Linked DNA regions of Saccharomyces cerevisiae S288C. The protein of the gene in region 2 purifies or fractionates together with the protein of the main gene of each other region. This does not show direct contact. Each region holds a gene or a part of one and is shown on either strand. Other genes may lie near its edges.

The links. Proteins that work in one complex are often made in the same cells at the same time.
Region 1: the proteins of AOS1 (region 2) and YEF3 purify together in Saccharomyces cerevisiae (affinity purification with mass spectrometry, with the first as the bait; 2 studies listed by BioGRID). This does not show direct contact.

What each region holds. Positions count from the first base shown.
Region 1 is NC_001144.5:635,057-641,731, reverse strand, and holds YEF3 (translation elongation factor EF-3), read right to left. Parts: upstream 4,953-6,675; coding exon 1,818-4,952; downstream 1-1,817. Other genes in the region: SYM1 (ethanol metabolism protein), read right to left, coding at 1-268; nucleobindin SSP120, read right to left, coding at 711-1,415; serine/threonine protein kinase RCK2, read right to left, coding at 5,648-6,675. UniProt on the Saccharomyces cerevisiae protein: Ribosome-dependent ATPase that functions in cytoplasmic translation elongation. Required for the ATP-dependent release of deacylated tRNA from the ribosomal E-site during protein biosynthesis.
Region 2 is NC_001148.4:894,070-899,655, reverse strand, and holds AOS1 (E1 ubiquitin-activating protein AOS1), read right to left. Parts: upstream 3,696-5,586; coding exon 2,652-3,695; downstream 1-2,651. Other genes in the region: GTPase-activating protein SEC23, read left to right, coding at 1-2,295; HDA3 (Hda3p), read left to right, coding at 3,892-5,586. UniProt on the Saccharomyces cerevisiae protein: Could be involved in a ubiquitin-related process important for DNA damage tolerance.

The DNA of each region.
Region 1 (6,675 bases), on a different chromosome or scaffold from region 2:
TAGACCAGTGGTACTGAGGTCTGTTACGCATATAAATCTTGTTGTTCAAGATCTTGTACCACTTGTCACCTATAAAGGAGAAAATTAAAGAACCATAGATGACAGCCCTAGCTGTCCTTTTATAATCATAACCCTTGTTTACTTTGGATGTTGGAAACAACAATTGAGCAGAAACATCACCAATTCCAAATAGCGCACCTGTCATTATCGCATTCGTAGTTTTGGGCCTTCTCTTCAAGCTCGCTTCATATAAATGCAATAACTTCATACTGTTTTAATATCAATTCTATCTTTCCTATAGTAATAACAAAAGACTGTGTTTGCCTTTTCCCTTTTGTAAGGCTAAATATGACAACATAGCATTCAAATAGCTCTTCTATCATATCACTATCATAGATATTTCCATTTTTTTTTTTTTTTCACTTTGTACTTATACTGTTAAAGTTCGACATTTAAGGGACAAGGAGGTGCCACTGTTTCCCGAAACGCTTCTTGTTACCATCGGAGAGAAAAGACCAATACATACGTAATTAGAACATAGAAAATAGAACGTTTAAAGTAGATAGTTAATCACAAAGGAGAGGCATCACAACGATGCGATGGTAAAAATATATTTTAAGTGCTTTGATTACTTACTACATGCTAATTGACTACATACATAGTGTCTTGAATATTTTCTCAGTCTCAACTATTCATCTTGACCAAGTCCATTAAAAAATTCCATTTTTGAATTTCTCGGGAATATTTTTCAGCTCTATTCTAGACTCTAGTTCGTCATCAGTTATTACAGTAGCTCTAGAAGCGCCTCTTTGAATTTCTTCTTCATGTTCAATTTCATGTTCATGATGAAGCAATTCATGTTCTATGTCTTCTTTGTGAACGACTTTAACGTCTGGATCTTTGTCCTTATGAAACTTATTCCAGTGATGAATTTCATATTCTAGCTCAAAATCGGAGTGGTGACCTACACCAACGCCAAGGTCAGGGAACTTGTTTCCTCTCTTAGCAAATTGTAGATATTCCTCCTTGGTGATTTTGGTATTATCATCAACATCCAATAACCTCATAATAAGGCTAACAACACGCTTAGCCATTTCATTGTCAATTTTCTCAGATTCATCGTGTTGTCCCATACCATCACCAGCCCCCACAATTTCTTCACGGTTCAACCCGTAGAGAGATAGAATATCGTTTTCATCTAAAAATCCTTTCTTCTTGATATCATGTAACGCGAAGAAAGTCTCTGGAGTGTAATCTTTTAGCTGATGCTCATGGTCCATATGCCACTCCTCCCAGGATAAACCATCAGGTGGTGCCTCATTTTCCACATTAATTTCAGATCCTATTTCTGCCGTGGCAGTTACTTTATATAGAGTGAAAGCCAAAGAAAATACAAATCCCCTCAAAAACCTCATTTCCACAATTTTAATAGAACAGGGATGAAAAAATTTTAGGTCTTGGCTCTTTTATCTTTTCTAGAAGGAATATAATATTACGCTCAATCATGTTTTAAAGCTTCCTAGTCTATGATCCGTCACCTATTTTTATTCTTCCAAAAAAATATTTTCGTTACCCTCTTACCGAAAAGGGTATGAGGCAATGCTCAATTTGCCTGAGCTTAAGAATGTATGAAAAAAAAAGATGTCTGACTAATGGAACGCTTTTTCTTTTAAATAATGCCTTTCTTTATAATAAGGAAGTTGCGTCTATATTTTACCAAAATAAACAATATTACAAAAACATAGAAATTAAAATATACATAAATTATTGATCAATAAAAATCTTAAAGAAAACTGTGAAAGCAGTGATCAAAAAGATTAGAATTCTTCGTCAGAAGAAACGTAAGCATCACCCAATTCCTTCTTCTTCTTCATTCTTTCCTTCTTCTTCTTTCTCAATTCCGCAGAAGACAACTTCTTCTTCTTCTTACCACCGGCAATCTTGTTACCCATAGCATCGAATTTATCTTCTTCGTCTTCCTTCTTTTCGATTCTTGGACCAGCACCTTGACCACTAACCCAGTTGTGACCAGATGGAGTCATTCTACCGTCCTTGACGGCCCAGACTTCTTCAGTCAAGTTCTTTGTGAATTCAGCAGAGTGAGTAATGATAATAACACCACCTTCAAATTCCTTCAAAGCCTTAGACAAAGCACCCAAAGAATCTCTGTCCAGATAGTTGGTAGGTTCATCTAAGACAATCAAGTGAGGTCTTTGCCATGTACCGGCAGCTAAGACCAACTTAACCTTTTGACCACCAGACAAACCTCTAATTCTGGAGTGAGAAACAATTTCTGGGTCCAAACCCAACATGGAACAATGTTCTTCAATTTCTTTTCTGGTTAATGGACGGAATTGACCAGAAGCCAAAGCTTCCTTCATATCAACTTCAGCAACCATCTTAGAGTGAGATTCAACCAATTCACCTCTTGGAATCCAAGCGTTGTCGACGGACATCATTGGAACCCATCTTTCAGATTTCATACCAATGTTTTCACCCAATAAGAAAGAACATTCATATTCGTAAGTGTTCTTGAACTTTCTTCTGGAGTGGATACCGGCAATTCTTCTAGGGGTACCTTCAATCTTGAAGATCTTGTTCATAGCTTCAGCATCGTTTTCGTTGATTTGTCTGTTAGCTCTGTCCATGGTTTCTCTATCTTCACCGGTTTGGAATCTCCATTGGATATATTCAGATGGAGTCTTGTCCAAATGAGATTCGATATGAGCAAAAGCGTGTTGCTTAATGTAAGCGATACGACAATTTTCGTGGGTGTAGACTTCACCAGAGGTTGGTAATAGTTCACCAGTCAAGACGTTAATCAAAGTAGACTTACCAGCACCATTTGGACCAATGACAGCAATTCTGGAAGACAAAGAACATTGGAAGTTAATGTCAGTGATTTGTGGCTTAGAGGTACCTGGATATTGGAATTCCATGTTGGTAACCTTGACAATAGCCTTTTGCTTAGTCTTAACACCTTCCAAGTAACCTGGTTCTGGGAACTTGAATTCCAAATCAGTGTTGGATAATTCTTCGTAAGCCTTAGCAGCTGGACACTTCTTAACGAATTCGGTAAAGTTACCCTTGTACTTTCTCAACTTCAAACCTTCGTAGTTAATAATATATTCACAGACGTTATCTAAGAAAACGGAGTCGTGAGAAATAGTGATAGAAGTGATACCACAGGTGTTCAAGTAGTTAACTAACCAAGCAACGTTGACGGTATCCAAATGGTTAGTTGGTTCATCTAACAACAAGATATCAGCATTTCTCAACACAGCTCTAGCTAGAGCCAACTTCATCTTCCAACCACCAGACAAAGCAGAGATTGGCATAGCAATCATTTCATCGGTGAAACCGAATTCAATCAATTTGTCCTTGATAGCTTCTTTAGTACCAACACCAGATTCGAAAACGAAATCCAAGACGGAAGTGTCAGAGTGAGTACCATCAATGTCGTGTTCGACGTAGACGGTTCTACATTCTTCTTGGGTTGGGAAACCATCAACTTGACCGTTGGCAATAGCTCTCATTAAAGTGGACTTACCACAACCGTTTGGACCACAGATACCATATCTTCTGGCTCTCTTCAATCTTAATTGGGTCTTGTTCAACAAGATTTTAGCACCATAAGCCAAAGAGAATTCACAGTTACATAAGTCTTCACCTTCGTCTTCTTCGTCGTCGAAGTTTGGACCAACTGGAATGTTGTCGACAGCTCTCTTTCTGAATTCGTCCAAGATGTCCTTGGCCTTCTTTTCGTGCAAGAAGATAGTCATGTATGGGGTGATGTGGGTGAACCAAGCTTGTTGGTCAATGATTCTTTCATCGATCAAATCAGCACCAATGGCGGCAATGTACTCGACGACAATCTTAAATCTTGGAGCAACGGTTTCGTCCTTCAACAATTCGTTAACGACTTGCAAAGTAGTAGAAACGTCACCAGCGTGAGAAACTTCTGGAATAGCATCGTCTTCACCAACGTTACCAACTCTTCTCAAAGTCTTCAAAGCTCTCAAAGTAACTTCTCTGGCTTCTGGGTCAGCAATGGTAGCAAAGTTACTCTTCAAACCTGGCAACAATTTACCCAAGAAAGGAGCAATAACTTGTGGGTCTTCGACCAACTTACACATGTTGTCAATAATAACAGCAGACTTACGCTTGATACCGGTTTCTCTTTCGTTCAAACCTCTGGACAACAATGGGACCATGATGGACAAAGTAGCTGGAGTAACTTCAGCAACGAAAGTAGTAGCACCTAACAAATGAACGGTTTCTGGAACTTCAGTTGGGTCAGCAATACATTGAATCAAACTTGGAATGAAACGTTCAATATCCTTGTTGTCAACAGTTTCGGTAGCCTTGGTCATGGCGGCAGTAGCAGCAGCCTTGACTTCCTTCTTGGTGTCCCACATGGTTTCAGACAAGACTGGAATCAATTCTGGCATTCTTAGGGCAACTTGATCCTTAGCAGCATCGACCATAGCAGAGATAGCTGCCAAAATAGCAATCTTTTCTTGCCATTTGTTAGTTTCGACAATAGCGTTAGTCAAATGTGGCAACAAAGCTTTGATGGCAACTGGGTTAACAGCGTTAACGATGGAAATCAAAGTTTCGGAAGCAACAGATTGAATTTCTTTGTCCTTGTTACCTGCGTTGGTACAGATAGCTGGAACCAATTGGACGATGTATGGTTCAACAGATGGAGACAAGTTAGATTGGTTAGCAATGTGAGCAACAGCTTGCATGGCGTTAGCAGCGGTCTTCTTGTCCTTGATACCCTTGGCCAATTCACCGAAGAAGTGTTCTGGAACATCATGTTCAATGATGTTACCATTCAAGAAAGAAGCGACTTCAGAAGCGATTTCGTGTCTGTTGTCAGCAGTGGCAACAGATAACTTCTGGAATAGTTCTTCTAGAACCTTAATGGATTGCTGGGAATCAGACATCTTTTAATGTTATCGATGGATTCGAACTAGAAAAATACACGGTTCTTTAGAAAACAATTAAGGAAAGAAAGAGAGCGTAAGAAAAAGAGATATTCTACAAAATTTTGATGCAAAAGGTTTTTATAAAACTTCTTATCTTATATGAAAGATGAGATGAGATAATTATACTCGAGGAAGCGAAAAAATTTTCACCAACGCAAAAAAAGAAAAAGAAAAAAAAAAAAAAAACATTAAAAACGTTTCTTTTTCACGTGCTAAGTGATCTAATAATTTAGGGTTATGCATGGGTGGGGCCGGATAAACCGCGGTTGAAAGTGATTAAACGGAGTCTTTTCTTTTTTTTGCTTCTTCGTTTCTTTTTTTAATTTCTTCTTTCTTCACGAATATTTATTACCCAGCCTGTCATGATTTTTTGATACGTAATTGCCCTGGTTGGGCCCTTTTGCGAGTGGCAGTAAGTATGGAAGGGGCGAACAATGATTGTAAGTTGTTTTTTTAATAGGGTAACGACCGGGTAAAATAGAAAGAAGTGTTGACTAAGAAACGGGAATCAACATTCACTTGCTTATCTTAAAATGTTATGTATATATACGCCCTGTAGATATGTATAAAATATATACTTGTAGAAGGAGTTTAATGTATATATATCTTTTAAAAAGGAATAGGTAAAAAGATTGAAACAGAAGGGAAAGTTGCTATTCCCTGATAGTGGCGCTTATTGGAATTGTAGGCCCTACGTCATTTTCTTGAACTTTTTTTCTTCTTTGCAGAATCGTGGACGTATCCAGCGTTAATTGGAACATATTTTGTTCCAGCTGTTCATCGCCTTGGGCGCCACTGTAACTATCTTCCAATTCTTCGTCCTCAGCAAGCGAGCCTAATCCTCCACGTGTTCCCATACGGTCTTCTTCGGTACGTTTCACAGCATTACCAATATCAAAGGCGTCACGCATAGCAACAGCAGCTGGTGAAAACAGTAGCGAGGAGTCTCTTTGAAATAGTTGGAATTGTTTCTTATGCGGATGGCGTCTTTCGGAAGTACCTGCTTTCTTTTGTGAAGATTCGCCCTCCTTTGGTAAACAATCGAATGTATTTAACCATGGGTCGTCCAAAAACTGGTCAATGTCGTATCTTTTAGACGGCTCTAGTTCTAATAGCTTAGCCACGGCATTCTTGGCACCGGCGCTGATTTCATCCCACCAAGGTTTCAGAAAGGTATACTCACCCCTTGATATTTTTTCAGTTAAAGTGTCAATTTTCTCATCATAGAATGGCGGGAACCCACATAACATTGTGTACAAAACGCAACCAATCCCCCACATATCCACTTTCATAGAATAATGCTCATCTTTGACAACTTCAGGGGCAGTGTAACCGACTGTACCACAAGGAGTCTTGGTGTTCTTGGAAAATATTTGTTTAGACAAACCAAAATCAGCTAGTTTTACTATACCAATTCCACCACCACCAACTCCTGGTGTGAAAATTCCCTCGTCTGCCTTTGTTTGCGGATCATCCGATTTCCTCAATTTTGGTTTTATAGAGCGTGTGAATTCAATCGGTTCAAAAAGAAGATTCTCAGGTTTTATATCACGATGCACTACACCTAGTGAATGCATATGTTTAACAGCCAGTGCTAATTGTTTGATTACATGCCTTGATAAATCTTCACTGAAATAGGTCAACCTAACAATTTCGCCGAAGATTTCCCCACCGGTTAGTA
Region 2 (5,586 bases):
ACTAATGAAGACATCAACGGGGTCCGTTTCACCTGGAACGTGTTTCCCTCTACTAGAAGCGACGCTAACAGCAACGTCGTCCCTGTGGGCTGTTTGTACACACCTTTGAAGGAGTATGACGAATTGAACGTTGCCCCATACAATCCAGTTGTGTGTTCCGGTCCACACTGTAAGTCGATTCTAAATCCTTACTGTGTGATTGATCCGCGCAATTCGTCCTGGAGTTGTCCCATCTGTAACTCCAGGAACCATTTACCTCCACAGTACACCAACTTGTCACAGGAGAATATGCCGCTAGAGTTACAGTCCACCACCATTGAGTACATCACCAATAAGCCCGTTACCGTTCCTCCCATTTTCTTCTTTGTTGTGGATTTGACTTCGGAAACCGAGAACCTCGATTCGCTAAAGGAGTCTATCATCACTTCTTTGTCTCTATTACCTCCCAACGCGCTGATTGGGTTGATCACTTACGGAAACGTTGTTCAATTGCACGATCTGTCCAGCGAAACTATTGACAGGTGCAACGTGTTCAGAGGAGACAGGGAGTACCAGCTCGAAGCGTTGACGGAAATGTTGACCGGCCAAAAGCCTACCGGCCCCGGCGGTGCTGCATCTCATCTACCGAACGCCATGAACAAAGTTACGCCCTTCTCTTTGAATAGGTTCTTCCTGCCCTTGGAACAGGTCGAGTTCAAACTGAATCAATTACTGGAAAATCTGTCTCCAGACCAATGGTCTGTTCCAGCGGGTCATAGGCCATTAAGGGCCACAGGTTCCGCTTTGAACATTGCATCTTTGCTTTTACAGGGCTGCTATAAGAACATCCCAGCAAGAATCATTCTTTTCGCCTCCGGTCCAGGCACCGTGGCCCCAGGTTTGATTGTTAACTCAGAGTTAAAAGATCCCTTAAGATCCCACCACGACATCGATTCTGATCACGCGCAACATTACAAGAAGGCCTGTAAGTTTTACAACCAGATTGCACAAAGAGTTGCCGCCAATGGACACACTGTTGATATTTTTGCCGGTTGTTACGATCAAATCGGTATGTCTGAAATGAAACAGTTGACCGACTCTACTGGAGGTGTGTTGTTGCTAACCGATGCCTTCTCTACCGCGATTTTTAAGCAATCATACTTGAGATTGTTTGCCAAGGATGAAGAAGGGTATTTGAAGATGGCTTTCAATGGTAATATGGCAGTCAAGACAAGTAAAGACTTGAAGGTACAAGGTTTGATTGGGCATGCTTCTGCTGTAAAGAAGACAGACGCTAACAACATCAGTGAATCTGAAATCGGTATAGGTGCAACGTCCACCTGGAAGATGGCTTCCTTATCGCCTTATCACTCGTATGCGATTTTCTTTGAAATTGCAAACACTGCGGCTAATTCTAACCCAATGATGTCTGCCCCTGGTTCAGCAGATAGACCTCATCTAGCATATACTCAATTCATCACTACTTATCAACACTCCTCTGGTACCAACCGTATCAGAGTCACCACGGTCGCAAACCAGCTTTTGCCCTTCGGTACTCCTGCCATTGCAGCTTCTTTCGATCAAGAAGCTGCTGCCGTTTTGATGGCTCGTATTGCTGTTCACAAGGCTGAAACCGATGATGGTGCAGATGTTATTAGATGGTTAGACAGAACTTTGATTAAGCTATGTCAAAAGTACGCCGACTATAATAAAGATGATCCTCAATCTTTCAGGTTGGCTCCAAATTTCTCACTGTATCCTCAATTTACCTATTATTTAAGAAGATCCCAATTCTTAAGTGTCTTTAACAATTCTCCGGATGAAACTGCATTTTATAGACATATTTTCACAAGAGAGGATACGACTAATTCTTTAATCATGATTCAACCAACTCTAACTTCTTTCTCAATGGAGGACGATCCACAACCGGTATTATTAGACTCTATCTCCGTCAAACCCAATACCATTCTATTATTAGATACATTTTTCTTCATCTTAATATACCACGGTGAGCAAATCGCTCAATGGAGAAAAGCCGGTTACCAAGACGATCCACAGTACGCAGATTTCAAAGCTCTTCTTGAAGAGCCAAAATTAGAAGCCGCAGAATTGTTAGTAGATAGGTTCCCGCTACCAAGATTCATTGATACTGAAGCCGGTGGTTCTCAAGCCAGATTCTTGTTATCTAAATTGAATCCTTCCGATAACTATCAAGACATGGCGCGCGGAGGATCTACAATTGTCTTAACAGATGATGTTTCCTTACAAAATTTCATGACTCACTTACAACAAGTAGCCGTCTCTGGTCAGGCATAGGAGCAACGGCTTTCTTTTGTTTTATTTGATCGTTATTAGGCTTTTTGTATAATATAAGGCCTGTTCAGTCCATTGCGCGTGCAAGAATTTTCCTTTGGACCTGAACGAAAAGAGTAGAGGATTTTATATAATATATTCTCCGTCTTTTTTGTACTGCGTGGCCTTTACTACGAATATCTGTATCTAATTTCTTTTCTAACTTTTTTATTACCATTACTACTACTACTATTATTATTATTATTATTATTATTATTATTATTATTATTGTGTATGACTATAATGCTTTACTGCCTCCAATTATGCTTTTTTTATTATTTTTTTTGGCTGAAACTACAGTATAGTAGGTATGTATATATCTAAAACTCAAAAAGTGGCATGTCTAATGTAATACCATCAAAAACAATGAAATTATTTAATGGAGATAGCCTTTTACCTAGAATGTTAATGACATCCTGCGCTACAGCACCCCCTATAATGGCCGCGACAGGAGCAAACTCGATACCTTTCTGTTTGATAAACTGTTGTATGTAATCGTCCTTTACCACTGTTGCTGGTACACCCAGATTTTCACACCATACGGCCGCATCTCTTTTCATTTGTTCAAAGCTTATGGCCTTGCCCTTTTGGTTGAGACCATATTGCAATAAGGACAGGGTTAACGGCAAGATACTAGTGACTCTTTTTAACTGTCTTTGCGTCATTTTTTCCTTTAATGTTGCTGTGCTTAAAACTTCGTTCAGTGGCCTATAGCAGTTCTTGGTCTTGATTCGTTCATATGTTTTTTTTTCATCTTCTTCATCTTTTCTAGTAGTAACTTCTATAATGCTCCTATTGCTTGAAATGGGACCAACGGTGGTAGGTCTTACACTTTGCAATTTTTCATCCTCTGAAATGAATTCAATCAAATCAATAAAAACATAAGCGAACAATCCATTAGAACCAGCAACATATAATGGAATGTTTAGTTTTCGAGTTAATGTGTTAATTTTGATTGCTTCATCAATCTGCATTTCTGTAGCCACGACTAAATCAAACTGCTGAAAGAACTCTTCGTCCTTTTCTTGCAAATCCTGCTTATCAAAGTTCAACTCTATACGGGGGTTCAAGTCTTGAATTCTCTCTTTTGTTGCATCAATCTTCCATTGGCCAACATCTTCAGAGCCTATGAAGAACTGGGATCCTAAATCTTCTTCAGTCACCATGTGTCCATCCAATATGGTTAAATGCCCTATACCACTAAGGACGATACTTTTGGTAATTTCAGAACCAATTGCTCCAAGATTGATCAGCAATACTTTTGCTGATCTCATATTGGCCTGTGCTGTCATTCCCCATAGACGAATCTGTCTATCATACAGTGCAATTTCATCTTCACTTAATTTTTCTACTTTCATATCCATAGTTACTGATTTAATCCACTCAGTTTGTTCTTCTTTTACTTTAATTGATAACTGCAAAAAATAACATTAGTGTTCTAGTATCCATAACACCGCGGTTTTCCAAAGTTTCAATTAAAGACAATAGAGAGAAGAAATACTTTAGACTATAAAAATGATAAAAAGGAAAGTTAGAAGCACAAACTAATTGCCCTTTAGTATGGATTTACTACGCATTTTAGACACGAAACCAATACCTACAATTGTTGATGCTACTACTCTGGGAATCTCAGGAAATACTTCCGGTGATTATTGGCTGCCAACTACAATGTCGCTTTATCAAAAAGAACTCACGGATCAAATAGTATCATTACACTACTCAGATATCTTGAGATACTTCGAAACGTCACACTACAAAGAGGACGTCATTCTCGAATCTATGAAGACCATGTGTTTAAATGGTTCACTGGTAGCAACCCATCCATACCTACTAATAGATCATTATATGCCTAAATCGTTAATAACTCGTGATGTTCCTGCACATTTAGCGGAAAATAGTGGAAAGTTCAGCGTTTTGAGAGATCTCATAAATCTTGTTCAAGAATATGAAACTGAAACGGCCATTGTTTGTAGACCTGGGAGAACAATGGACTTACTGGAAGCCTTACTATTGGGAAATAAGGTGCATATCAAAAGATATGACGGTCATTCTATCAAGTCAAAACAAAAGGCAAATGACTTCTCGTGTACAGTTCATTTGTTTTCTTCTGAAGGAATTAATTTCACAAAATATCCGATAAAATCCAAGGCTCGATTCGACATGCTGATCTGCTTAGATACTACAGTGGATACAAGTCAAAAAGATATTCAATATTTGTTGCAATATAAGAGGGAGAGGAAGGGTTTAGAAAGATATGCTCCAATTGTTAGGCTAGTGGCCATTAATTCAATTGATCATTGTAGGTTATTCTTTGGTAAAAAATTTGACAAGAACAGTAGAGAATACTTGGAGAACGTTACCGCAGCTATGGTAATTTTAAGAGATCGACTGGGCACACTTCCACCTGATTTGAGGCCCATTTATTCACAAAAGCTGCATTATTTAGTAGAATGGTTGGAAAACCCAACAGTACCGTGGCCATTACCAGATATTTACCCTTTAAAACAATATACTTCCATGGATGTAGAAAGGTCTTTGTTAACGGAAGTACATTTCAAAAAGTCAGATGATCAACTAGAGGATGCTTTTTCCAACTGTTCCAAAAAAAGAGGACGCCATGGTGCTAATAAGGCAGCATCTTCAACTGTTGCCGGAATTGAGGATAATATTACTCCAAGTTTTTACTCTACCAAAAGATTAAAGAACGATTATTATACAAATCCTTTAAAACAAGACATGACACAACTAACAGGTATTACTACAGCTGACAACTCCTCGAATGTAAATTACCACTTATCAAGTGGAATCATAACACACAAACTGATTCAATCAATGGGAGAAGTGTATATGGATATTTGCGTTCAGAAACAGGAGCTGGATGATTATTCTTGCCTTGATGATTTGCAAAATGATCATCTGAAATTTTTCTCAAATGAAGATGAGAAAATTATAAAAGAATATGAAACCGTATTGCGAACCAATAATGAAAACTTAAATAGGTCGCATGAACTAGAAGTTGAAAACAATTTGAAGTTTTCCCAAATCGAAACACTGGAAAAAGACATTGAAACTTTAAAGGGAAGTTTGATGGCCCAAGGTGAAACATTATCAAAGTTAAAAGACGCTTTCGTTAAAACAGACAATGTACAAGACGAGATCGAGAAAGAAGAAAGGGTAAGTGTATCAAGGGATACTGAGAAGAAATATATGGAACAAGAAATCAAAAGAGCCGTTGATGCTATAAGGGAAAATGAG